Linked DNA regions of Oryzias latipes. The protein of the gene in region 1 purifies or fractionates together with the protein of each later gene. This does not show direct contact. Links are inferred from orthologs where the notes say so. Each region holds a gene or a part of one and is shown in the gene's direction. Other genes may lie near its edges.

The links.
Region 2: the proteins of ezh2 (region 1) and hmga1 purify together in Homo sapiens (affinity purification with mass spectrometry; 3 studies listed by BioGRID and IntAct, with this or other methods). This does not show direct contact. The link is inferred for Oryzias latipes from reciprocal best matches to the Homo sapiens genes EZH2 and HMGA1.
Region 3: the proteins of ezh2 (region 1) and mtf2 purify together in Homo sapiens (affinity purification with mass spectrometry; 10 studies listed by BioGRID and IntAct, with this or other methods). This does not show direct contact. The link is inferred for Oryzias latipes from reciprocal best matches to the Homo sapiens genes EZH2 and MTF2.
Region 4: the proteins of ezh2 (region 1) and PHD finger protein 1 purify together in Homo sapiens (affinity purification with mass spectrometry; 15 studies listed by BioGRID and IntAct, with this or other methods). This does not show direct contact. The link is inferred for Oryzias latipes from reciprocal best matches to the Homo sapiens genes EZH2 and PHF1.
Region 5: the proteins of ezh2 (region 1) and core histone macro-H2A.1 purify together in Homo sapiens (affinity purification with mass spectrometry; 3 studies listed by BioGRID and IntAct, with this or other methods). This does not show direct contact. The link is inferred for Oryzias latipes from reciprocal best matches to the Homo sapiens genes EZH2 and MACROH2A1.
Region 6: the proteins of ezh2 (region 1) and phf19 purify together in Homo sapiens (affinity purification with mass spectrometry; 10 studies listed by BioGRID and IntAct, counting the BioPlex papers as one, with this or other methods). This does not show direct contact. The link is inferred for Oryzias latipes from reciprocal best matches to the Homo sapiens genes EZH2 and PHF19.
Region 7: the proteins of ezh2 (region 1) and trip12 purify together in Homo sapiens (affinity purification with mass spectrometry; 3 studies listed by BioGRID, with this or other methods). This does not show direct contact. The link is inferred for Oryzias latipes from reciprocal best matches to the Homo sapiens genes EZH2 and TRIP12.

What each region holds. Positions count from the first base shown.
Region 1 is NC_019878.2:3,242,524-3,245,021, reverse strand, and holds the end of ezh2 (histone-lysine N-methyltransferase EZH2), read left to right. Parts: intron 1-275; coding exon 276-357; intron 358-424; coding exon 425-505; intron 506-579; coding exon 580-664; intron 665-857; coding exon 858-918; 3' UTR 919-1,998; downstream 1,999-2,498. UniProt on the Homo sapiens protein: Polycomb group (PcG) protein. Catalytic subunit of the PRC2/EED-EZH2 complex, which methylates 'Lys-9' (H3K9me) and 'Lys-27' (H3K27me) of histone H3, leading to transcriptional repression of the affected target gene.
Region 2 is NC_019865.2:19,767,170-19,771,136, reverse strand, and holds the start of hmga1 (high mobility group protein HMG-I/HMG-Y), read left to right. Parts: upstream 1-1,167; 5' UTR 1,168-1,310; intron 1,311-1,379; exon of another isoform or gene 1,380-1,562; intron 1,563-2,023; exon of another isoform or gene 2,024-2,108; intron 2,109-2,302; 5' UTR 2,303-2,323; coding exon 2,324-2,422; intron 2,423-2,952; coding exon 2,953-3,033; intron 3,034-3,867; coding exon 3,868-3,924; intron 3,925-3,967. UniProt on the Homo sapiens protein: HMG-I/Y bind preferentially to the minor groove of A+T rich regions in double-stranded DNA. It is suggested that these proteins could function in nucleosome phasing and in the 3'-end processing of mRNA transcripts.
Region 3 is NC_019875.2:5,988,268-5,991,767, forward strand, and holds part of mtf2 (metal-response element-binding transcription factor 2), read left to right. Parts: coding exon 1-61; intron 62-128; coding exon 129-224; intron 225-2,126; coding exon 2,127-2,195; intron 2,196-3,399; coding exon 3,400-3,500. UniProt on the Homo sapiens protein: Polycomb group (PcG) protein that specifically binds histone H3 trimethylated at 'Lys-36' (H3K36me3) and recruits the PRC2 complex, thus enhancing PRC2 H3K27me3 methylation activity.
Region 4 is NC_019874.2:28,784,769-28,788,268, forward strand, and holds part of PHD finger protein 1, read left to right. Parts: intron 1-1,035; coding exon 1,036-1,103; intron 1,104-1,536; coding exon 1,537-1,668; intron 1,669-3,500. UniProt on the Homo sapiens protein: Polycomb group (PcG) that specifically binds histone H3 trimethylated at 'Lys-36' (H3K36me3) and recruits the PRC2 complex. Involved in DNA damage response and is recruited at double-strand breaks (DSBs).
Region 5 is NC_019872.2:3,504,713-3,508,212, forward strand, and holds part of core histone macro-H2A.1, read left to right. Parts: intron 1-1,814; coding exon 1,815-1,914; intron 1,915-3,162; coding exon of another isoform or gene 3,163-3,253; intron 3,254-3,500. UniProt on the Homo sapiens protein: Variant histone H2A which replaces conventional H2A in a subset of nucleosomes where it represses transcription. Nucleosomes wrap and compact DNA into chromatin, limiting DNA accessibility to the cellular machineries which require DNA as a template.
Region 6 is NC_019867.2:31,490,816-31,494,829, forward strand, and holds the start of phf19 (PHD finger protein 19), read left to right. Parts: upstream 1-1,214; 5' UTR 1,215-1,429; intron 1,430-1,816; 5' UTR 1,817-1,817; coding exon 1,818-1,997; intron 1,998-2,085; coding exon 2,086-2,167; intron 2,168-4,014.
Region 7 is NC_019871.2:22,661,144-22,665,332, forward strand, and holds the start of trip12 (E3 ubiquitin-protein ligase TRIP12), read left to right. Parts: upstream 1-1,389; 5' UTR 1,390-1,517; intron 1,518-1,912; exon of another isoform or gene 1,913-2,003; intron 2,004-2,301; exon of another isoform or gene 2,302-2,531; intron 2,532-4,189. UniProt on the Homo sapiens protein: E3 ubiquitin-protein ligase involved in ubiquitin fusion degradation (UFD) pathway and regulation of DNA repair.

The sequences.
Region 1 (2,498 bases):
TTTTCTGAGGATTTTTTTATTTGACAGAAAATCCAGTGCTAGATTAAATTACAGGGAAAAAGCCTTGTGTATAGGAAATCCTAAATTCATCTTCTTAACCGTTTTGTCCCTTTCGGGGTCGCGGGCGAAGGCAGGGGACATCCTGGACAGGTCGCCACAGATCACTCACCCATGCACCCTTAGGGGCAATTTAGAGGAACCAATGAACCAATGGAGCAAGGTTTTAAAACCATCATCACCTGCAGCACAGGCTGACCTCTGACCCCTGTCTGCAGATCATCTCGCAGGACGAGGCAGACCGCAGAGGGAAGGTCTACGACAAATACATGTGCAGCTTCCTCTTCAACCTCAATAACGGTGAGACGGGTCCCAGAGCAGCCAAAGGTCCAGTGCGGCTCCAGCCTTAAACCCTTTTTCTCTGCAGATTTCGTGGTTGATGCCACAAGGAAAGGAAACAAGATCCGCTTCGCCAACCACTCGGTCAACCCCAACTGCTATGCAAAGGGTAAGGGGGCGAGACTGTTAGCGACCGTCACTGGCTTCAGGCTCTTTTGTGAGGCCCTCTTCTGCTGTCTGCAGTGATGATGGTGAACGGGGATCACCGAATCGGCATCTTTGCCAAGAGAGCCATCCAGACCGGAGAGGAGCTCTTCTTTGACTACAGGTCAGTCCAACACCTCCAGTTCTCACCTGCAGCTCCACTATAATCGTTAGACACAAACAGATCAGCGTTTCCTGTTTTGGTGAGACGTAGTTTCAGAAGAACTTAGTCTTCCAAACATCAACCAGATGTGTCCTCGAGTTCCCGTCAGGTAAAGCTGGGAGACTGATGCTGTTTGTGGACGTCTTCTGTGCAGGTACAGCCAGGCGGACGCCCTGAAGTACGTGGGGATCGAGCGCGAGATGGAGATCGCCTGATCCCGACCTCTACCTCTGTGGCTCTGCAACACAAAGAAGGCCTTAACAACAAAGCAACACAATAACTTCAGGAAAACCAGGCTGCTTCTCCAAACTCCGCTCTTCAGGAAAACTGGGAATATTTGGACTCTGTGTTTCATCATTTTCCTCTTAAAACCCCTCTCCTCTGGGACTGCTGGACTGGTGAATGTTCCCTCCTGTGAGGCCTTGCCTCACGGCGTAAACATCCCCCAAATATTGGCACAGGAAAGACAAACTCCTCTTCAGGGACCGAAGTCCTCCAGCAGAACCGTTTGCCCTCTTTCTTCTTCTCAGATCCGGACCGACCTCCTTCAGGTGCTAGAACCAGCACACGCTCCAGCGCCGCTGCTCGTTCAAACCAAACAGGAGCTGAAGCAGTTCTGTCATGTTCCTCTGATGCTTTGATTGTCCATCTGTCCCCACATTGGTACTGACACTGCGTTCAGTTGGAATCAGATTATTGGTGCTGGTTCTCCGCTCTGGAACCAGATCCAGCAGGGGAAAAGAACCTGCTGGAGTGTAACAGATCGGAATCCTAAACTGATTCACATCAGGAGTCTGTTGATTGACAATCCAGTTTCTCTCCATCTTCCAGATGATGAAAGGTTTGATGGGAAAAAGCCGGCATGTCCCTGTCTGCTGTGCCTCGTCTCATGAACAATCACCGTGTCACCTGGACTCCACCCCCCCTCGGTGCTTAGACCAGCTCACTGCCTCTTCAAGATGTCAGCCGGGGGCTTCAGAGCATTCCTCTTCTCTGCTCTCTGGTGCTTGTAGACCCTCTGAACCCTGACCTCTCAGCAGCACCAGCTTCATTCTCCTGCTGAGAAACGTCTTTCTTCTTCTGCACCTGTAATTTATGGACTCGGTGGTGGGAGACTTCAGGGCTTCACGTGGTGCTTCTTCACCGGCAGGATTTCTGTGTTCCTCCTTTTCCTGTCCGGTTGGTTCTCCGTGATCGTTCTTCAGATTGGTTGTCCGGTCACATAGGTGCTGATTACTGTTTACAGGGATTTGTTTGTTCAAAGTGATGCAGAATAAAATATTGTGAAACGTTGAGATTCTGGCTTTTGCTGTTTCAAGGTCAAATGCTCCTGATGTGAAACTCGTCAGAGAAGGAAACGCAGTTTAGAGAAATCTGTTTTTATTTATCACACATTTAGAAAATGAACCACACTATACAAATGTCCACCGTTCAGTGATGAATCTGGCCTCCTGCATGAACCCATGTGAGATGTGGCCGCGGCGGCTGGATCCCGAGTGACTCCTGTCATCCTTGCGTTGTGGCGGTCACTGTGGTGCGGGTAGGCAGTAGCATGCAGAAACCTTTGGATGCGGCTCTCCTGACTGGCTGTAGACTACTTCATACATTTGCACTATATGCAGAGAAGGTTTTGTTTGTTCCTCTTTGAGTCTTTATTTACAATAAAAGGATGAAGCGAGCGAGTCGTACGGATGGAACGGGACAGGCGATCGCGCTGATGGAGGTTGGAGCTCCATCACTGCAGGGGGAGCAGTTCTTCGTCGGGTTGGTGGGTCTGTGTGGTCGCATGACTCAG
Region 2 (3,967 bases), on another chromosome or scaffold:
AAATAAGAATTTTCAGGAATCGCAGTTAATATTTCACATTGGGTTTTCTAGTAAATTTCAAAGCAAAAAACGAAAGGTATAAGCTGCAAAGATTTTGCACAGTACCAGGTACAATGTTCTTGTGATTTAAACATTAAACACATTTTTACATTATGTGTGTGTGTGTTTCTTTAAAGTTGTATCTTACAATAGCACGCTTTTATAAAATGTTCACATTAGTCCATAAAACTCTGTTTGTATTTGAAGTTTTCATACAATACAAGAAAGTTTATTCACTACAGAAAATAAGACAGAAAAAAATGTGTTTAAAAATCATGCAAAAGTCCAAAACTAACATGTAAGTTAGTAAAAGTTATGGAAATTATTCTAATTATTTATTTTTTAAATGTTAAATCCAAAAGAAACACTTATGGCAATCGATTTTGTTATAACAAATCCACATTTCTTTTGGTATTATTAAAGCTTAAAAAGCTATGTAAATAGTTTTTTTTTTCAAACTATTATAGTACAAAAATATTATAGCAATTTATATTTATTAATTTTGTTTAAAGCTGCTTAAACTAAAGTAACTGGACAGTTTTACACCTAAGAACAGATGAATGGATGTATGTGCCTCTGTAACACAAGAGAACACAATGTTCCAGCAGGGAATCAAACCAGCAGCTAATGAGTCAGCAGCCTTTTTGCAGCCAACTTCATCTGAATATATGTTTAAAAAATTAACTTCAGCTCCAATTAGTGTGCATTTATTTGATATTTTTGAGAGGGGTGTTTGTACGTTTTAGGTTCTTATTTGACAGTTTGAAATGAAATTTCTGGGACTATAAGCAGGAGAGCTGAATGCTCCTAGTATAAAGGAGGCATGTGTTTACATTGGGGGAGGTCATAGTTCATTCACCATTACAGTGGAGACTGGAATGCAGACCTACTGTTCAGCAAAAGGACAAAATACTAAACACCACATATTATATTTGAACATTGAAAATGTACTTTCCGTCAGTTTTATTTTATGTGAAAAGTTCCTTCCGATACTTTCCAACATGTGTTTTGCGTTTTCAAACCGAATCAAGAAAATGTAAAGAATCCGCGCCATAAGGAGTGGTTGGGTGGAGGGGGGCTGAGCTTCTGTGGTACTGTTGGTGGCCCCATTTATCATATCTCCGCCCTCCAGTGTTCCTGCTCCCATGAGGGCGGCTCTTTAAATTGGCCAAAAATCTCCTCCTGGCTCGCGCCTTTTTTCTTTATCTTCACGAGACCAGACGCACGTGCTACATTCAGGACACCGTTGGAATAATCTTCTTGTTTTGCTGGTAAACTATATTTATTTACATATAAGCAGTTGTTTGGATGAAATGTTGATTTTTTTTTTCTTCAATTCAAAGCGGGTTTTTTTTCTTTTGTCGGCCGCGTGAGCAGGGTTTTTTAAATGGGGCGGGCTGTGCGTTGTCTGACGAAAAAAAGCTCCAGCCTATAGATCGTTGCAAGGTTTTTGAACCGGTTCGGCCAGGCTTCAGGGGCATTTCTGAACAAAATTAAGGACGGGGAAAGCGGACTAGTAACAGGTAAGCGCTGATTAATCCGGCGTGAACCGAATGTAGTCGGTTAGCTTCAAGCAAATTACTACATTTAAGCTAGCTTACAGGACGCCGCATTCTTTGAACGTGAAGATGTCTTTTGGCCTGCCTTCCAGTCGCCTTAAATTTACCGTCATGTTTTGTAAAATATCAGGGATTTTTTTAATTTTTATTTTTAATTATAGGGGGGACCCTAAAAGTCGCGCGCATGTAGCCGATGCTTAGCCTTCAAATGCAAACGAGCACATAGCAGCCATTGTGTTCTCGGTGGCCCCTGCGTGCAGACCTGCTGTGAGATGGATTCGTGCACAGGCCCGACCATTGGTCACAACAGCTCCAGGCAGGACGGGCCCCTAATATGTTTGGTTCGGGAACGGTGCAACGGGTTCAGTAGTGTCCCCCCGCCCTCCTCCCCTTTTTTCCTCCCACCGCCCCTCGAGTCTGTGCATTAACATGCGATCGCCTTCGTTGTCTGGTTCTGTGTAGCACGGTGCTGTGTAATGGAGCGCGGATGAGACGGAAATAGACCTGGAAGTAAGCGCGGATTAATTGAGTTAAACCGGGTTCGTGTGTTTGGCGACGGTCGGATTTTATTTGAATATGTTAGTTTTAAATGCGGTCATTGGCTTTAGCGGGTTAGACGCTTTGTGTTGTGCGTGAACTCGACGCCTCGTCCTCCTCCTGCTGCTGCTGCAACAGCGCCAAATCTGTGGACTCTCTCCTCGTAGGTTCCAAGAGCTAAAGTAAGCATGAGCGACAAGGGAACCGTCTCGCCGAAAGAGAAAGAGGCGGCAGAGAAGAGAGGGCGTGGAAGACCCCGTAAGCAGCCCCAGGTAAAGACGACTGACGTAAGTAAACGCACATTTTACACCCCCTTCTCGTTTCGTATAGGCGTGCATGCTGTGGATCTGTAATTGTGCATGTGTTGCACCGGGAGAGTGAAGTGCTCCATGCATGCCCTAAAATCCAAGTAGAGGCCCGCAACTTGCAACCCCCCCACCACCATTTCAAAGCAACCTGTAACCCTACACCTTTAAACCGGTTTAACCCCCCACCCCCCTCCCCCCCATCCTCTCGCCCACCTATGTGCTCCATGTAATGGATGACATAGCCCAGTCCAAGCAGAGTGGCTCATAGACCTGTCAGTCAGTCTGCTGTGGTTTACTACTGAGTTGCCTGGTTGCTAAGAGCAGCAGCTGTAAACAAGCTACAAATGCAACAGAAGGCAAGTCAGCCACGACACCATCCAACCACAAATTACGCATGAATACGATTACTCGCCTCCTGTTGATTATTGGTGATGCCAGTCTCCCAATAAGAAGAAAAAAAACGCACTGCAATAAAACTTGAATTAACTCTGGGTCGCTTTGATCACCAGGAGCCCAGTGGATCCCCGACTCCAAAGAGGCCCAGAGGACGACCAAAGGGCAGCAAAAACAAGACCGGCGGCAAGGGCAAAGTAAGTTGACATACAATGTGAAGGAGCAGAATTTCCAACACATCCATTGCCCCCTGCATCCATTTGGTTTAGCAGCGCAGCAGCTGCTGACCACATACTCTTAAAGGACGTTGAGCTGTCATTTGTGACATTTAGTGTCTTCTTCCCCTCTTGTCACTAATGGCATAGTTATGGTTTCCCCATTGTAAAAACCCACTGGTTTAGTGCCTTACTTTTTGAGGTGTGTGTGTGTGTGATGGTGGTGGTGGTGGTGGTGGGGGGGGGTGTCATCCTGTCCTCCAGCTTCCTGCAGAGTGCAGGCAGTGCAGGTGCAGAGGCTGCAATACTGTTTCCAAGTTGACACTTAGCCCCCCCACCCCCCACCAGTACACAGCCCTAGTTCTTCTCTCTGCCTGTCGTCTCCATAGCAACATCAGATTTTTCTCCCTCGCCCCAACCCTCCAGCTCCCCCGTGTGCTCAGCCCATGTTTTTAATGCATGGGAAAAGGGAGAGCGGCAGACAGAGTTTGGGACAGGCGTGCACGCGGCACGATCGCTTTAGCAGCAGCGCCTGCTCTGCAGAGAGGGCTTCTGGGTCTTCGCTCGATTTCACCAGCTGTCTCTGAGCCTCAGACCAGGTGGCCTGCGAACTGGAGTGCCCCGTATGCAGTTCCTGTAGGCCATCCAGATAATAGCCAATGAACCCAATGCCCCCTCCCCTCCTGTCATTGTTAAAGTGTGACTGCCATCTACAGGCAGTTTAGGGCACTGTCACTCTCTCAAATAAAAAAAAATGCAGATGGCCGAAGCCTCTTCACTGCAGAATGTCTGACCTTGTGTCCCTTTTGTTCACAGAAGGCAGCGGCAGCTCAATCTTCAGCGGGGAAACGCAGAGGAAGACCCAAGAAAGAGGTAAGAGTTGCCCTTAAAACAGTGCAACAGTGTGCTAAAAACA
Region 3 (3,500 bases), on another chromosome or scaffold:
GGGACCAGGGCCACAAGACTAACCTCCAGCAGTGTTACTGCTACTGCGGCGATCCGGGAGAGTGAGTGAGCCTCCACAGAGCACGGTTCTGCCTCAGGAGATGCTGAGCGTGTGTTCTGTCTGTGCAGCTGGTACCTGAAGATGCTGCAGTGCAAACAGTGTCAGCAGTGGTTCCATGAAGCCTGTCTCCATTGTTTACCTATGCCCATGCTCTACGGTGACAGGTACTGTCCTTTCTGCAAGCATCATCACTTCAACTGTTGGTTTGATTCTCTCCTGGAGGAGCACAGCTCCAGAACCAGAACCAGCGGTGCTTCAGTAACAGATGGGTGCACAGCTTCACACTCAGTTAGTTAATGGATGAAATGACTTGCTGGGTAACACCTGGTTTGTTAGCTTCCATGAAAGCCGCAGAAGTCCTAATCAAACTCAGTATTGTCAGTATTTACTACAGAAGAAGCGCCGTCCAACACCATCAATCAAAATCAATCTGATCGTTCTCCTGAACTTTACTTTTGCATCAAATGCTGTTAAGTGAGTTTTTATTTTTCCCTCCACGAACTCGTTTGGGACGGCAAGTCATCAAACCAGGTTAGAGAAACACGGAGGAACGGCTGGAATTGCTATGACTCGGCAGAAGTTAAAGATGGAAAGAAGTCATGAATTCAGACATGGAGACGTGGCTCTTCACCTTAAGTGATCTCTGGATGTCACCCGTGTGTAAACGAGACATTCAGTCGATGCGTCCATGTTGCTATGAGGCTAAAAACTCGACAGTAGCTTCTCCCACATGTGGCGGGACTGTCTGGTTTATGAACGCGTTTTTGGACGGCAGCATAGGTGACTTGACGTGCGTAGAAAAAGGCAGCAAACTCGCATTTGATGCGAATCAAACCCGATCACGCTGGGTGTGAGCGCAGCATTTCTCGTGATTTATACTCCGGATCGGCTCGAATATGTTTATTTTCCTTACTATCTTTTATTTGACCCTGTGACTTACACTCCAGTGCAACTTGTACTTGGGGAAAATACAGTAATCTGATTACAATAATACGGTGGCCGACAGGGCTCACACTACATACACAAGAAATGACGCAACAGCATTACCCGAACCAATACGGGAAATCTGGATCTAAGGCTTTTTGTCTAACACTATGTAAAGTTACGTTTAGTAGGTATCTAGCTCATTTAGCTCGCCTCGTTCAGTCAGCAAAGAGAGGCGCTGTAGCCGTGTTCTTCAGACTTTCTATTGAACAGTCTCTTTCCAACTACTACACTGTGCAAAGCAATCCGTCTCTAATCAGCTTCCTAGCTCTGCACTGTGCACCAACATGTGACTACTCGCCTAGCATGCTGGGTATTCATGCATGCTGGGTAATACAGTTCTTTATAACTAACGTCAATATACAACAACTTGATATTCATATACAGTACAGACCAAAAGTTTGGACACACCTTCTCATTCAAAGAGTTTTCTTTATTTTTATGACTATGAAAATTGTAGAGTCACACAGTAGGCATCAAAACTATGAATGAACACATGTGGAATAATATACAAAAGAAAAAAGTGTGAAACAACTGAAAATATGTCATATTGTAGGTTCTTCATAGTAGCCACCTTTTGCTTTGATTACTGCTTTGCACACTCCAAGCATTCTCTCTTCTTCTTCTACTCACAGGAATATTTTCTTTTGTGTACATTTTTTCATATGCAAATGTTAATTTTGTCTTTTTAACCCTTGTGCTATCTTGTGGGGTCCAAATGACCCCACCCTTACATTGACATGTTCTCGCTACCATGACAAAGGTGGATAAAGGTGGAAAGATTTCATGTAATCCATGGACACCAGTGAAGATCACAAATCATTGAAGAAAAAAGGTTCAGCCTGGTGGGGTCCAGATGACCCAACTCCCAATGTTAAAGTCCCTCGGAGGTCATCTGGACCCCACAAGACAGCACAAGGGGTTTTAATGAAGCATGTACTAGTTAACCAAAGCAGTCTGTTGACATGCCACATAAAAACATTTGAACTGTTTTTTTTTAATAAAGAAAACTTGACTTTTTTTAGAAAACATTTTCATGCCAACTACCGTAATGCTGTTTGTTTGGTTCTTTTTCCCTCCAGGTTTTATTTGTTCATCTGTTCAGTCTGCAACGGTGGACCAGAGTTTGTGAGCCGGCTGCCGCTCAGCTGGTGAGTTTGTCCGGAAGCCGTCACGCGTCCTCATTGAGGGAGGGGGTGTTCGTCCTCAAACTCTGCAGTAACAAATCTGTCTGCATGTTTTTAGTTGCTGGGATTAAAAACACTGATTTCCTTTTGGGAGCACTTAACTCCGCCCACCTCCACGACCTTATTGACCCCTTTTCTTGGTTTCAGATTTACTTGGAAAGTGCGGCATTGATTCGTCACATCCATCCATCGGTTGTCTTTTGAACAACGGATTCTAATATTTTCAGAATAAAATTGCCTATTCTGTTTAAAATGTGGGATTTTCATAAAGTTCCATCATTATTCGGTTAAACCTGGCAGTTAGAAGAGCATTGAAATCAAATCACCATCTCAGTCTTTTGCCCAGTAATCAGTTATCCCGCCTAAAATGAATGCCAGCATACAGCGACGCAAACTCTGATTCTGCAAACCCCGTCCTGTCTTGCAGATCTTTTGTAGGCTGTTGCTAGGCAACATGAATTGGAACTCCCTCCACGGTTCCTCTTTTGGACTGAAGTCCAGAGACTGGCTAGAACTCTCCAGAACCTTGAGATGCTTTCTATGTAGCCGCTCCTTCACTGCCCGGGCCGTGTGTTTGGGGTTATTTCCTGCTGGAAGACCCAGACAGGCTTCATCCTCCATGACCTCATTCAGTCTTTCCTTAACCCGGGTCAGTCATCTGGCCCACTTAGCATGAAACAAAAGAGCATGGTACCCTAAAGTCTTTCCCTGGTGTTCTCTGACAGCTCTTTGGTCTTGGTCATGGTGGAGGGTTACACTCTGACTGGTTTAGGCTGTGGACAGGCGTCTGATTCTGATAAGGAGTTTGAACAGGTGACATTGATGCAGGTAAACAGTGGAGGATAGAAGAGCTTCTCACAGAAGAAGAAACAGAATTAAGATAAATACTTCTGTTCTGCTTTATTATACAAATAAGTTCATTAAAAATCAATCAGTTTTATTTCTTTTTTTACATTTTAAGAGTGGGAGCGTTTCTGTGATTGACATTTCAGACCAAACTCATCCTTTGAGGGAAAACCTGCAGAGTCTGTGACTGTTGTGATTTGATTTTTTTCTGTTTCTGTGGTAAACTCTGATAATCAGCCATATTAAGGCAGTTTCCCTGAGTTTCTTCAATAATGTAGTTGTAATTTAATTTGTAATAGAAGTTTCTATGGAAATGTTTCAGGAAGGATGTGGCTCACCTGAGTTTGTACAACATGAGTGTGATTCACAAGAAGAAGTACTTTGACTCTGAAAATCACTTGTTGGAGTACATCAACGACAACT
Region 4 (3,500 bases), on another chromosome or scaffold:
GACTTATCAAATTAAAAATTTAACAGTAATAAACATCAATGCGACATTGTAACCTGATCAAAAATAATCCATTTTTTTTAAACCAAATCACAATTTCTTAGGTAAATGTAATTATTTTAAAATTTTAAAACCTTCTCAATATTTTTTTCAGAGATAAAAACTGGAGTTCGCTTCTACTTGCAAACGTAATTCACACATAAAACAACCCGAAAAGAGCTTTTTGAAGTTTCTTATTCAGCTTTTTGGTCTTAAAGATCATAATATATATATACATGTATATATTTATTTACAATTAATTTAAGTTTGTGATTTTTATAAAAAAGAATTTCCAACTAAACCAATCTAAAGTAGGACATGCATTTCTCTTCCTCTTTGGAACACATTAAATTAGCTAAGAATTCATTCTAGCCATTCAAAAAAGAGTCATTTTAAACGTTTTATTTTACTTTTTGATCTTGAAGTTTCGGTTTTATCAAACAATACTTATCTTTTTTTTGCAGCCTTTGATTTTCTAGTTTCTAGTTTAAGATTTTTGTTTAGAAATGTTTGTTTTCATCATAGTAAATAACAACATTCGTTATATATCTGCGCCCTGGTATAATATAAATATATAATTGGTTCAGATGTTATCTCTCATTTTAGTTTGATCTGTTTTTGTGTCATACCTTTATTTTTTACCCTTTACAAATGGATTTTATTTTGTTTCATTTAGATCTTTTAGCATTTTTTCTTTAACTTTTTCTTTCTCTTACATTTAATTATTTAAATCAGTCTTTAGCTTGAAACAGGCTTTTTTAAGAATAAACTTTCTAACATCTCTTGGTAATAGCTAGTGATAAATTAATTTTCTTGGAGGCCAGATTTTTTTGTGATTGCCACTTTTGGTTCCGTCATTCAGAAACCATTTAAAAAAAATTCAGATGAGTCGAGTTATCTCTCCTTTTTCAGTAACTCATCAAATTGTCCAAATCGTTGATACATATCATCATTATAAAAAAAGATCTGCAGGCATTTTAATCCTTTTCTGTTTTTCAGCTGTCTGACACACCAAGACAGGACCGTTTCCACAATCTGCTTAACGCTCTCAACTCCCACAAGGACAGGTAGGTTGTATCAAATGGAGAGAGAAATACCTGCTAGGTTCTGTTTTAGACATGTAGGTTCAAATAAGGGAGAAATGGAGCAGAAATAGTTCAAATGAGCCACTTTCTGTTTTAGTAGCAAACACAAGTTGTTGGTAATACACCAATAAAACCCGTAAAGTGATTGCTGTAAGTCGATTTTCATTAAAATGTGTATTTTGTAGTCAATAAAAACAACATATTTCTCCAGGCTTTAAACATCTGCTTTAATTGTGCTCCAGTTAATTATAGTCTCTACCTTGAAGTGTTTGTGCGCCTCTCATCAGGGCAGCACCTACTTTGTGTTACATTGCAGAAGAATCACTATTAGTTTTTAAAGAGGGGTTATTGAAAAAAGGACACTTGCGATGATGCAACCTAATGCGATGATGCAACCTAATGCCCTGTCGTCTAGGTTTGTCTCTGGAAAAGAGATCAAGAAGAAAAAGTGTCTTTTCGGGCTGCAGGTCCGAGCCCCACCTCCGCTGACATCGGATACGTCGCCCCTCATTACAGACCCGCCTGTCAGTATCACGCATCGGAAAAGGTTGGTAAATCCAGCCCGTCTCATTTGGAGCAGGGTGAGCCCCGCGGACGTCTAAAATGTATTTTTGAAACTGCTGACATCATCATAATTATAAACACTGTTCATGAGGTCAGTTGGCAAATTCTGTTCAAAAATGTGATCAATGTCTGGCAATAGCAATCAATTTTTGGCTTGAGTCAAATAACTAAAAGTGAGTCTTTCTTTTTGGCTGTGAGGAACTCTGACTCCACAACGGGATGTTTCTTGGAGATGCAAAAAAAGAAAAACCCTGCCCTGATTTGGGCTCCTGTTTTCACAGAATCCTGCTGACTCAAATATAGATTAGGATCGGCTTAAGTGATTAAATAACAACATGGTTAATTTGAGAACAGTTTTAAACTCAAAATCAATCAAGCATATAAAAAATGTTGGGTACCAAACTTTCAAGAGGGCATTATTACCACTGTTCGCCACATTAGAGGAGGGAAGACACAGGCGTTCCAGTTTTCAATATTTCCTTCAAGTTCACAATGTGTACTTTCAAGTTTAAATCCGTCCATCTTCTTCCACTTATCCGGGACCGGTTCGCGGGGGCAGTAGTCTAACCAAAGATGCCCAGACTTCCCTCATGCCACTTCCTCCAGCTCCTCTGGGAGGGACCCCGAGACGTTCCCAGGCCAGCTGAGAGACATTAGCCATGGTTACATGTGCAAAACATCGTAGTCAGATCAATGGTCGGATTAGAATTTAACTGTGTACATGGACCCAGAAAATCATTTTCCGATCAGAACAAACGTTTACATTCGCAGCACTTTTGGTTGGAATAAATCATTCGCACATGCGCAGTTCTGTTTAAAATACCGGAAGACTAAACGAGTCCCGCTGTAAACAGGCTGAGCTGCCACATGCATATACAGTATGTAGCAGTATATATATATATATATATATATACAAGACGATCTTCTAAACGTGCTTTTGTTAATGTAATAGGTATTATGAAGCACCTGTTCACTCATCATTTTATTTTTAATCTGTGTGGTCAGTGCTTTCTTAGTGGCAGAACGAAGCTGGACGTATGGTTACGAGAATGCTAACATGCGCTAACAACAACATTTAGCCTGGATGAACATAAAATCCATGCGGGAAATGCCGCAATCAGCATCTTGGCTGCACGTAAACATGTTGGAATAACATCGGCCTTTATTTTGTCGGGACACAACTGGAAACACAAATCCACGTGATTGTTTGAACGGTTTTCTAAGGACTGAGCTACACTTCTGCTTTGAAAAGCTCACACACTGCCCCAAACCCGCTGTGTGGGCTGGAGGCCTGAGCTCTGCTTGGAGACGGGAGACATGGTTCTCCTGAATTCGGCTGCTCGTTCACCTACAGATCGCAGTCCGAAGTCTCCCACACGTAACAAAGCATCCTCCCCTCAAACACAAAACTATGAGTCCGGCTGCTCTGCTCAGAGACACGGTTCGCTCCGTCCAAGGGCAGCTGCGCCCAGACCGCGCAGTGTCTGGACAAGCACAAAGCGCTCCTTTCCGGCGCCCCCCTCGCGAAGATAGGAAGGGAGAGGCAAGGAGCCCACAGAGCGAGGGCGGAGCGCAGAGGCGTCTGCGCTTTGCACCCGGCGTCCACGGAGCAGCCGGTCGGTCCTGTTTGAGCTCCAAAGCTTTTTCTGGATCGAAACATCCGTCTATGAATGACGTTAAACCAGAGCAGTAGGGACCCTTTCTCTAAGGGAACGCCCTGCCACCCTACAGAGGAAGTTCCTTTTAGCCGCTTGTGTTGAACTGGTATGCAAACCGTGCTCTTGCTCCAATTATTCAGAGACCGGATGGCCCTCA
Region 5 (3,500 bases), on another chromosome or scaffold:
CCACCATGTCACCAAGGAAGACTGTATTTGACACAGTTAACCAATCTAATGTCCACACTACTAATTAGAAAACAGTTCTAGCAGACGATTTGAACATTTATTCTTCGTTTTTGTGAGATACTGTCCAAAAATTGTAATTTTGTCTTAAGTTGTACATTTTTGAAGTCTGTATCTGTGATGGTTACGACCTGAGTGAGTTCTCTCTTTCAGTCCTGCTGAAGCTCTTAAGCAGAATTTGAATCTGTTAAATAAATAGTATGGAGTTTAACTGAGCCATGTCATTTTACAGGCCATGCCTGGACATTTACTTTTGTCTGTGAGATGAATCAAATGCAGCATGTGATACTTAAAGATGCTGTGGACTGTTTTCTGCATCAGAAAACCGATTTAAAAACGTGATAAATGCAGCAACAGAAGCTGCACAAAATGCCAAACAAATACTTTGATTGCTGAGTGTATTCACATGACCTAAAAGCGATTTGGCTACATTTAGTGGCATCAGCAGAGCTGGACGTGTTTAACAGAAAACTCGCTCATTGTTTGAATGTTTCTGCAGCAGCGAATGCGTCACAGTCTGATCAGTAATTACTCTCTTACTAACAAAGATCATAGAAGAACCACTGATGTCACTCTAAGTTATTTTAGGGAACTCTTTTGGGAGCTTCCTCCCAGAAAACCTTTTCAGTTTCATGCTGTTTTCTATCTTCACTTCTTCTTGTTTTCAGTTCTCTGCACTTTAGCGCCTCTCTTAAGGCCAGAGTGATTCTAGCTGGTGAATTCTGAATTCTCTGTGATGAATTTTAAACAGTGAGATGCTCACTGACATCATATTTTAGAGGGATACCTTTTCCTGCTTCTGCGTTACAAAACTATCACGTTCACGCCTCGCCATGCAAGTTTCCACGACTAGCGCACAAAACAAACTAGATCTAACTTTGACCAATCGGAGACTCGGATTTGGTAGAGGCGTATGGATGACGTCCCCTTTAAATAACGGAAGTGCCAACATTTGAAAATTGATCATGGACATTTGTGGTTTGTGTGCAGCTGGATTCATAACAATAATAATGGATTGGATTTATCTTCCAGTGTGTCCATTTTTCATTCATACTTGCTGATGGTAACTACTGATGCAGCCTCAGCTGTCCTGGGGCAGACTGACAGACTGCCAGTTCATGCCTACAGCCCCTCTGACCATCACCGGGACATTCATGCACATTCAACCACCAGTGGAGCTACTCTGGAGGCAATTGAAGTGTCTTGCCCAAGGACACAAGGACAGTTGACTGGGGGGAGCGGGGTTCGCACTGCTGACCCTTGACCATTGGACGCCCTGCTCAACCGCCTGAGCCACTGCCGCCCATGTCTTTCATAAATCAGACAAGAATTGAAAGTAAGAAAAAATCCTGGAGCAAGATCCACCAGATTTGGACCGCTTTGACATTTCGCACCAAGCCTCTCCCAACTGTTCACGCACTAGTAAACACTAAAAAAAGAAAAGAAGAAGAATCCCCTCCCTGTTTGTCCAGTGTGAACACTGTGGGCTAAGAAAGCCTGGTCTGTTTGTAACTTTATATTTAGATTTTATTATACTATGAAAAATGTTTATTATTTTATGTCTGACCTGAAGTAGGTAATACGTTTTTCAACCACACCGCTTTGAATTTCAACTATTGCTCCAAGATTGATCCAGAAGCTAAAGGTATCCCTCTAATCTACAGAGAATCCGGTTTTAATGGCTCTGCTTCCTCACCTCTTCCTTCTTTGCTCCATTCCCTCTTCTGCATGCCTGCTCCTCCTTCCCCCTTTTACAGCTCAACCTTATCCACAGCGAGGTCAGTAACTTAGCTGGCTTTGACGTGGAGGGGGTCATCAACCCCACCAATGCTGAACTTGAGCTTAAAGACGACCTAGGTGAGCTCCCCAAGCCCTCAACCCGCCCCCCGGCCTCAGCGGGCTTTGACATGTGAAATCCTTGAAGGTTGTAGCTGAACATCACCTCCTGTAGTAGAGCGACCTGCAGGGGTTCGTGTTTTTTCCCACGGTGGCATGGCCCCCCCATTTAGACAGTTTCTATTAAAGTTGGTCAACAGAATTTGAAATTAGACACTATAGCTCTAAAGCAAATGACTGTGTGCTTATGCAGAAAAAAAAAAAAAAAGGTTTCAAGGTTTGTTTTGGAAATCAGGAAATCTAATTAAAATATACAAGTAGACTCAATATACATTTATGCTTAATTTTTTTTCTAATCCACGAGTTAAAATGTCCCTAGAAATCCTTTCTGCCATGCGGCTGCTGATGTGTTTTTACCCTGACCTTTGTCATCCATGCAGCAGTTCCTCCTAAATGAGTAAGAACACGTCAGGTTCTATAGAGCATCCAACTCCCCGCAAACAAGATGTTTAAGTGGAGAAATTCTGGCTTTCATTTTTCAGTTACAAGTAAAACGAGAGACGTATCAAGTCATTAAGCATTACTCCTTCTTTTGCTAAATAAATGAATTTGATCGCTCGCCTCTTCTAATGACAAGAAAAATCCTGACAGTGTGAAGAGAAATGAGACTATTTGGTTTCATCCGACATAAAACAGCTGAACTCTCTTTGTCTTGTCTGAGATGAAGAGCAGAAAGCAACTAATCAATAAAAAAGGAAAAGAAGTCTTGTTCCTCTGAGAGGAAAAGAACTTTCAAGGATCTCCTGAAAGCCGTTGGAAGCAGCTCGCTTCCTCTTGTGTGCAGACCTGCGGCGGTTCTTTTCAGGTTTTCATCCTTACAGCTGGCTGCCCAACGGCTGCGATGCCAGAGTTTTTATCCAAATGATGAAGATGGATGAGTGTAAACTGGATGTTAGTCACTGAGGGCAGCCTGGTGGATGGATCTGTCACCTGGAACCGAATCATTAGGTTTAGGAAGCAGGACGACAGCTGTCACATTGATTTTTCTAGAAAAGAAAAAGGAAATGTTTTAAAGAGGAAATTCCACCTGTCTTGCTTCCTAATTCCTAAAACTCCACCTTCCATTGCCTCATCCTTGTCTTCTGTGATCTTCTTAGCCACTCTTCCTCCCCTTCTGCTCTTCCTCATACTTTCTCATGTGGTGCTCCTGGTCATTCACTGTGTTTTACCACCATGTTGTTGCCTGTTGTTTGTCGTTGTCGCCTGTAGTTGCAAGTTGTCCAAGCCGACATCTCCATCGTGGAGAGCGATGCTGTCATTCACCCGACCAACTCCTCCCTCCACACAGGTGGTGAAGTAGGTAAAGAACCACCGACACCGTGGAGACTGCAGCTGCCTGTCTGCTCCTCGTCTGCGCAGCCACAGAGTCGGTGCTGCCGTCTGCGGACAAACGCCACAGCAGCAGCACTTCACTCGCTTACGACCAGGGATTTGTGAAAGGAGTTGAAGCTAAAGCTAAAGCTAGCACTGCAAACTCTGTTCAAACGTTGGTGCAGAAGCGATGGACGACATCTCCTGAGAAAATGGAGTTGCTGAGACTTGAAACA
Region 6 (4,014 bases), on another chromosome or scaffold:
AATTAAAGTAATTTTTTTTTCCTTCGTAATGAATTAAAATTCTTGAACTCTCATATGTCTAAATTTGAGCCGGCAGATCTTCATTTTTATAACAATAAAAAGAACAAAACAGTATAACCTGCAAGCTTTCATTCATTTAGAAATTTTCCAACATTATTAATATACCAGCTGACTGTAGGGGAGCTATATAAACTCATCATCCTCTCCCTCCCTCTCCCTCATGGTGCAGAGACCTGTGCAAAGTAGGTCAAAATAACTCGGCAAAACAGGGTAAAACACAGTAAAACAGCAAAACAACTAAACACATTTGGTCAAAAACCCACACTTAAACCCAAATCCGTCCAGACAGGCAAAGGGAATGGTATCCCACAATCCCTTGCAGTGCCGATCTAACAGCAGCACCAAAGTTACACCTACTTCATTGAATTAATTTGAATGAAAGTAAAATAACTGTCTGAAAACTACGTGTTATTTTTAAACTGACTTAACAAATAAAACGATTTTTAATTATCTTAACTGAAGCAAATAATTAAGTTAGATCAAAGTAAAAAAGTTTCTCTTTCCAACATCCATATGTGGTCTTATCACCCTCTCATGGTGGAAAAAGTATTATCTGAGCTTCTTCATCCACTAAATCATCTTCAAATGGACACGCCATGCTGCTTCACCTCTCTGAAAACAAACTAACCTTCAACTAAACCTGCTCCAGACCAGGTTATGTTCAGAGCATGAGTTGCCATGGCAACTTGACATACCCTGAAACATACCTCCATTTCTGGAACCGAAAGCTGAGGTTATCCACTTCCTTAGCCTCAAACTTACCGTGGGAGCTAGCAGAACCTGCTCTCTGGAATACCCCCCTGTTCTTTTTCTGCAATAACAAACATTTTGATCAAACTCGTTCCAGCATCATGTATGCGCAGGCGCGACAGAGAGAGGGGGGGCTCTTAAGGTATAAACCTGGACAGTATGACTGCTGCCAATTAAATATTGGCGGATCTGCTTCTTTGAGTTCTTGAAATTATACATCTATTCCTTAAATAAAACTTGTGCTCGCGCAGCCTCTTCCTAGACTCACAACGGCGCTCACCTCGATATTAAAATCAGTGAAACGTTGAAAGGGGCTCCGGCTGCAGCCGCGCAGCAGCGTCATGACGTCATCACGCACACGACGCTGGTAGAAAAAAAACCCATCCTCTGATTCGCGGGAAAATGAAAAAAATGGCGCCGGCGAGAGTTTGAAGCTCGGAGCCGCCAAACGGAGGCAGAGGGAGAGGAGAGGCACAGAAAACGAGGGACGGCGGGACACTGCTGCCGCGCCAGAGGTTCGGTATCCCCGTTCGTCCGTCCGTCGGGCTGTTACCGGGCCGAATCGGGCTCCGAGCTCCAAAGGACTGAGAAGGGCGTGATTGGATCCGCCAGAGAAGAGGTGAGAAGATGCCCTGCGTCCTTCAGCAGGTCTGGCCCGCCCGGCTCAGCCTGCAGGGGAACTGTCTGGCGTCAGCGTGCATTTATATATGCAGAACCGGTGCTGGTACCAAAACGTTTTAAACATTTAGTGATGCATGACCCGCCAGCATGCTTCGGGAGTTTTCCGTTAGTGTGAGCTGTCACGGATGTCAGGGTGCGGTAGTTTATGCGGTTGTAGGTCAGGTAAGGAAATTAGATGGGAGGATGCAGTGCGCATGCTCTGTGGTGTCAAAACCGCACAAACAGTTCAGGAATGAATCACAGCCACTAACGGCCTGTCTCTCTCTCTCTCTCTGTTCTAAACCAGCGTCTCTCTCCCTCTGTCTCTCCATCCATCTCTTTGCAGGATGTTTGAGGACTTGATCGAAGCTTTCTGCGGTCTGGAGCCTCAGGTGTCTCCTGGGGGCGAGGGGAGCCATAGTGGGACATTGGCAGAGGTGGAGGGGGCAGAGTCCAGTCTGAGTGTGGGGCAGTTTGTGCTTTGCCATTGGTCAGACGGACTGTACTACCTAGGAAAGATACAGAGGGTAAGGTTTGGCTGCAGACTCACCTGTCCGTGAACGCGGGGACTCTTCTGTTCTTATTGGCTGCTTTAAGCTTTTTACCTTCTGACAGGTGAGCCCCCCCAGACAGAGCTGCTTCGTCACATTTGAGGACAACTCCAAGTTCTGGGTCCTCTTGAAGGACATCCAGCATGGTGAGTCAGGCGGGCTCACCAAATGCTTGAAGCAGCCTCTAGATGCTCTCTGTGTGACTGAAGGATGTTTTCATTAGCGCCGCCACATTTAGAGATCATTTTCTGATTTATTTCTAAAGCGTTTGCAGTGGTCTTTTAATGCTGATGCTGCTGCTGTTTTTAGCCAAAATCGACGTTTTCTAAGACATAGTTTCTGCAGAGCGGCAGGAAATCATTAAAACTACCGGTACACGTCTTAACTGTGACTGTTGGTGCAGAGCAGCCCCGCCCCCCTTCCCCTCCCTCCCTGTTGCTGTCCAACAGGGAGGGCTGCATTTTTTTCTTCTTCTGGTTCACAGTGATGTGAAAGGAAAAATAAAATTCAAAAGTGCAATTTTGGGCTCAATTTTCTTTATAAATGTCATCCATCATCAGATAAAAATGCTCCAAGAAAATCTTAAAGGAGCCAAAAATACAGTTTTTCAACTGAGTGAGTCTTTAGTACGGTGGCCCTGAAGGGCAGATCACCTCACTCCACACAAAAAATGTCAAAATCACAACAATAACCATAGCAAAACAAATATTAAAAAACAGCATTACATTTGAGAAAATAAAACTAAATTTCAGAAACGTAAAAAATAAAAAACCTTTTAGAAAAACCAAAGTCATTTCCAGAAACGAGATAAAATGTTAGACAAATGAAACACATTAAGCTTAAGCGTAGGAACTCTGGGACGTCACTGATTGATTTATTTTTTCAAACGTGCCTTCAATGGCCCCACGCTTTTATGATTAGTATGGAGCATATCCAGAATCGCTCTATGCTAAATAACTTTGGGTTGAACAGACAGACAAATCCAATCAGCGATATCCCATAGTACATACCTTATCCAGTTTCTCCCTCGCCGCGTTTCCGTTAGGGCTGTGACGATAACCGCATCACCACGGTAATGAGATTATCACCGTGATCATCTCATCACCTTGTTGTTTTTTTTTTTGAAAGCTCTGCATATGGTGCGGGATTTGAACTATAATAAACACATTCATCTTTGCTGATAATTTGTTTTTTCTGTGAGTCCTGTGTTCAAACTTCAAGAGCTTCTGGGGGAATTTCTATTGTATTCATTTCCATTACAAGCTGCGTGCGTTCTTGAGTAGTGTGCGTCACGACCGCCTGCCAGAGGATTGTGTGTGTGTGTGTGTGTGTGTGTGTGTAGGGGAGGGGAAGCAAGAGTCCCGACACCGCGACTCCTGCTGCTTCATCACGGCGGTGATCAAAATCCCTCACTGTCACAGCTGTACTCCAGAGCAGGTTAATAAAGAATCAGTCACCGTTCTTCTGGGGGAAACCTTTCATTACTGTTCTCCTTCACTCCTAACACCAAGCATGAACGCGCGCACACCCCCAACACGCTTGTGCACTCTCACTCACTCTTTTGCTGCTCCGCTCCTTCCTCTTACACACGCAGCGCGCTGACACACACACACACACTCATTCTACAACACCTGTATACCTTAATTTCTGGACTATAGAGCGCACCTGGTTATAAGCACCATTACATTTTTAAAGGATAGAACATTTTGTACATACATAAGCCACACCTGTCTATAAGCCGCATGTGGCCACATTGAAACATGTGTTGTAGAATGAGGATGTTTGTGTGCTGAAACCACACGCGTGTGTAAGAAAGAGGGGGGAGCGCGTGCAGCAGAAGTGTGTTGGGGGTGTGCGTTCATGTTTGATATACAGAGTGAAGGAAAACTGTAATAACAGAAGATTCCCCTCCAGAAGAATGGTGAATGATTCTTTATTAACCCGCTCTGGAGGCTCTGAAGGTCCGAACAGGGAAGTGAACCCCGAAGGAAGA
Region 7 (4,189 bases), on another chromosome or scaffold:
CAGTGGTTATGTACAGAAGCTATGTATGTATATGTATATATACACGCATGCACGCACGCACGCACGCACGCACGCACGCACGCACGCACACACACACACACACACACACACACCCCCACACACCCACACACCCACACACACACACACACACACACACTTCTGGGACTTCCAGATCCAGACTGATAGGATGGTAATGGCAAACCAACCAGACATTGTAGAGGTGGATAAAGAACAGAGCAAAGCCGTTGTGGTGGATGAAACATCAGGAAGAAGGAACATGAGAAACTGGAGAAATACCAGGGACTCAGAGAAGAACTGGAGAAAGCCTGGAAAGTGAAGGTGATAGTGGTGCCTGTGGTAATTGGAGCACTCGGGGCAGTAACCCCCAAGCTGGAGGAGTGGCTACAACAGATACCTGGAAAGACCTCAGACCTCTCAGTCCAGAAAAGCTCAGTGCTAGGAACAGCTAAGATACCACAAGACCCTCAAGCTCCCAGGCCTCTGGTAGAGGACCCGAGCTTGTGTGAGAAACCACCCGCGAAAAGGTTGAGAGAGGTGTTTTTTTTAATATATATAGCTGTTTCGCTTGCATTTTGAAGCATTTCCCACTGCTTGCCACTTAATAGTTTTCAATTTTTGAACTGGTGACTTCAACACTTTTTTTTCATTCTGTAGTAATATAAATTAGATATTTATATTTTGAACATTTTCCGATATTGCACATTAAGTAAAAGACTTTACACTTGGATAATTGCAATAAAACAGAGTGGTGATTGTTTTGAAATTGCATATCATCTGTGTGCATTTAGTTCAAAGCTGGAATACATTTACCTAAATCTATATGCTATATATAATTGAATGAATGATTATTGATATTGGTGAGGTTATTGATTTATATGTTATTTTTAAAATGTTAAAAAATGCAATAAAATTTGTTATTTTGAAACGTATTTTATGCACAAATAAGCTACATCATCTCTATAATAATTTATTAAAAATAGATTTCATGAAATCAATAACAAATTCAATTGTAAATAAAAATGCAACAACTACCCAAAAAGGACACAATAATTAAACTTTGAGAAGATTAGCACAAATCTAACCACAAAACTAAGATTTAAATAATAATGCCATTGTTTGGTATTATCATTTAAGTGTAAGAAACCAGGAGAAAGATTATATAATACACCAAATTTATTTACTATTTAATGTTTGGGTATTAGGGGAAAGAAATAATAATGACTACTTTTATATGACACTGATGTACATACAAAAAAAAATAATAAGCCCGCTCTTCAAATACAAACATGTTTTTATTCTACATCGAATCAATACTCTAGATGGATTTTAAAAAACGTTCAAACAAAACAAATTTAGAAGGAAGTAGTCCCTGAGCGGATGAATTAGGCGGATGTATACTGCAGTTGTAGGCCGCTCAGCTGATGTGAAGCTGCTAGGTAGAGAGAAAAGAGGAGCTGTTGCCCTGTCTGTTACAACTACAACACTGGAACAAATAGGTAACAACATTCGGTCAAATGTTGAATTTGACAACATTGACATCTCGACCAACAGTATTTGTAGATTTTCAGGTTATACCGTATCACCTCATTTCGGAAGACTGGTGATTCAGTTCTGCGTAATGTCTCGATTCCCGTTCCTGCTTTCCTGTTTTTTGTGTGTGTCTAAAATCTATCAGAGGCCATTTCTTTCTGGTGTTTGTGTGCTAACTGCTAGCTGCATGAAAAATCTTAAATAGAAACGGCCAATGGGGCGTTCAGTGCGTTCGGGTTGGGATACATTAAAGGTGAAGTTGTTTTTGAAAATCTAGGTTTCGGTGCCGTCCTGTCGAGCTGGCAAAGCGCTAGCCAAGAAGTGACAACAAGGCGAGCTAATATTGATTAGCATTTTTTTTTCTTTTTTGCTGTAACGCTCTTCTTGTTTGATTTAACGTCGCTGTACGTAACCTGCGTGACTGCCTTCAATAGCGAGTTCCTATTGATAAGGTTTGTAGTTGTTTAGTTGACTAGCAGGCCTAGCTATATATTTAGTTGCCAACTGTTTTACGTTTTTTCCTCATCTTGTTAAAGTCTTTTAAGAAAAAAAAAAGATTATTTCGTTAAGCTAGCATTAGCTTGCTAATCATTAACTAGCCTCGGACTCGGTGCTTGTCAGTTTGACCAATATATACGTAACGTTACGTGGATAAAACGATTAGCTTTCTTTGTACTTGTTGAAGTCTAAACATAAAAAAAACGTGCTCTTTGTTGGCACGCAATGACTATACAGTTTGGTTTAGCTGGTGTTGGCTAATTCCGTCGACACCGCCGCAGTGAGTGAGTGAGTTCAAGCCGTTGGCCTGAAGTCAGCTTAGGAAACATCGGGTAATCGTTACATTTGACCAATCTTGGCTAACCTTGGTCTTGAAATTGCTTTCTCGATATTAGCTTGTTTGTCTCGTCGTCTCCTACTTTTGACATTGCGGTATTTCGGGGGATTTGGTCTCCCCTCCCCAAGCAAACGTTACAGAGAAGGTGAGAGCATTTGTGTGCGTGATGTGCCTCATTTTGTTTTCCTTAAAACTTGTCAGCCATGCTCGTATCAAGGCTCGGATACGAACTTGGCGTTTTTTTAGTTGATGATTCGAGCTTTTGTTTTATTAAAAATACAGCCAGGGCTGCCTTTTATTCTCCCCCCTCCCCCGGCGTGTCGCTAGTTAGCCACAATTATTGGTCATTTTGGAGATCCTCCTTTGCGGTATAGTTTGAACTGCTAAGTACAACAAACAAGGGGAAAAACGACAACAAGCAGTTGTCGTCGTTTCTCTGGCATTTAATTACATGTCTACATAGGTTGACATACCGGTACGCCAACTACGCAGTTCAGTACAACCAGTGCTACATTAGCAAGTGTCACTGTTTTCACTGATGCAGCAGTTTGACCTATTAGTTATTTTATTGACATCCCAGTTTTTATTTTCTAAATATATTTGACCTTTTTATGTTGGATTTCCTTCATAAAACGAGGATGGAGTAACTGCTGTCAAAATGTGTGGTACTTGCTAGTGGCTAAATGCTAACGACAGTCGATGGTGTCAGAAAACTACGTCAGAAATATAGGCCTCTGTTGATCGTGGGTTCAAAAAAAGCTGGACATTTGGATGTCAGTTGGTTTACACCATGAAACGGATTAAAAACTCTGTCATTTAGTACCTTTTAGCAAATCCCAACCACACACGAGTACATTGTGACTTAGAATGGTCGAGTAACAAAGGCTGGGATGTGCAGGCCTGACATGGCCCTGGGATTTTGAGGTGTTACGTATTTATCTGTTTAATATTCACAAAATCGTCAGGTTGAGTTTAAAACCAAAATCTGTTCATTTGATTTAGTTTATTTTCCATTCAGGAGAAAGTATGTAGGTTATGCACGTTTCTGCTTATCATAAATTCAAGCTGTTCAGCTTTTTATGTTCACATTGTTTTGTTTTTTAAATTATGTATCTGCACCCTCATTTATTAAAATGTGCACTTTCCAGATCCACATGATTAGACATGGTTAAAAAGCCAAAGGCTAGTCTTCACCTGTGTAAAAAAAACAAAGAAACAGACATAGATACAACATATTTATAGAAAAACTTACTATACAATGGATACAATACAACATCCCATTTCACATTTAATCACAGCATCAAAACAAGATTTTCTTGTAGTGTTGGCAGCTGTAGGTCTTCATAAGCCACATATTCAATTTGAGATTTTGCATCTTAACAGTTTTTATTAAAAGAAAATACTTGTTTTCTAATTTACAGGGATACTTAAAGATGTTTAAAGGGTTCTTAAAATAGTATTTTTATTAGTAGAGTCTGGTATATAAATATATATTTTAAAATAATTCTGAATACATTTTAGACAACTATTTGCCCTTAAAGGATAAATTTGGTTATACAAGTGCTTAAACCTTAAAGAAAATTTAATGTTGAGGCCCTTAAGCGTTTCCAGTAAGATAACTGAAATACTGATTTTAATGTCATGAGACTCTATTGCAAAAACCAAATCAAATAGTAAACCATGTTGGTTTTATGTGCATCAGAAATTCATTTGACTCATTTAAAACAGTTTAGATTAAACATAGATGAATAAAATGAAGGCTTCCTTAATTTAAAGTTTTATTTTCTTAACTGTAGGTTTTAT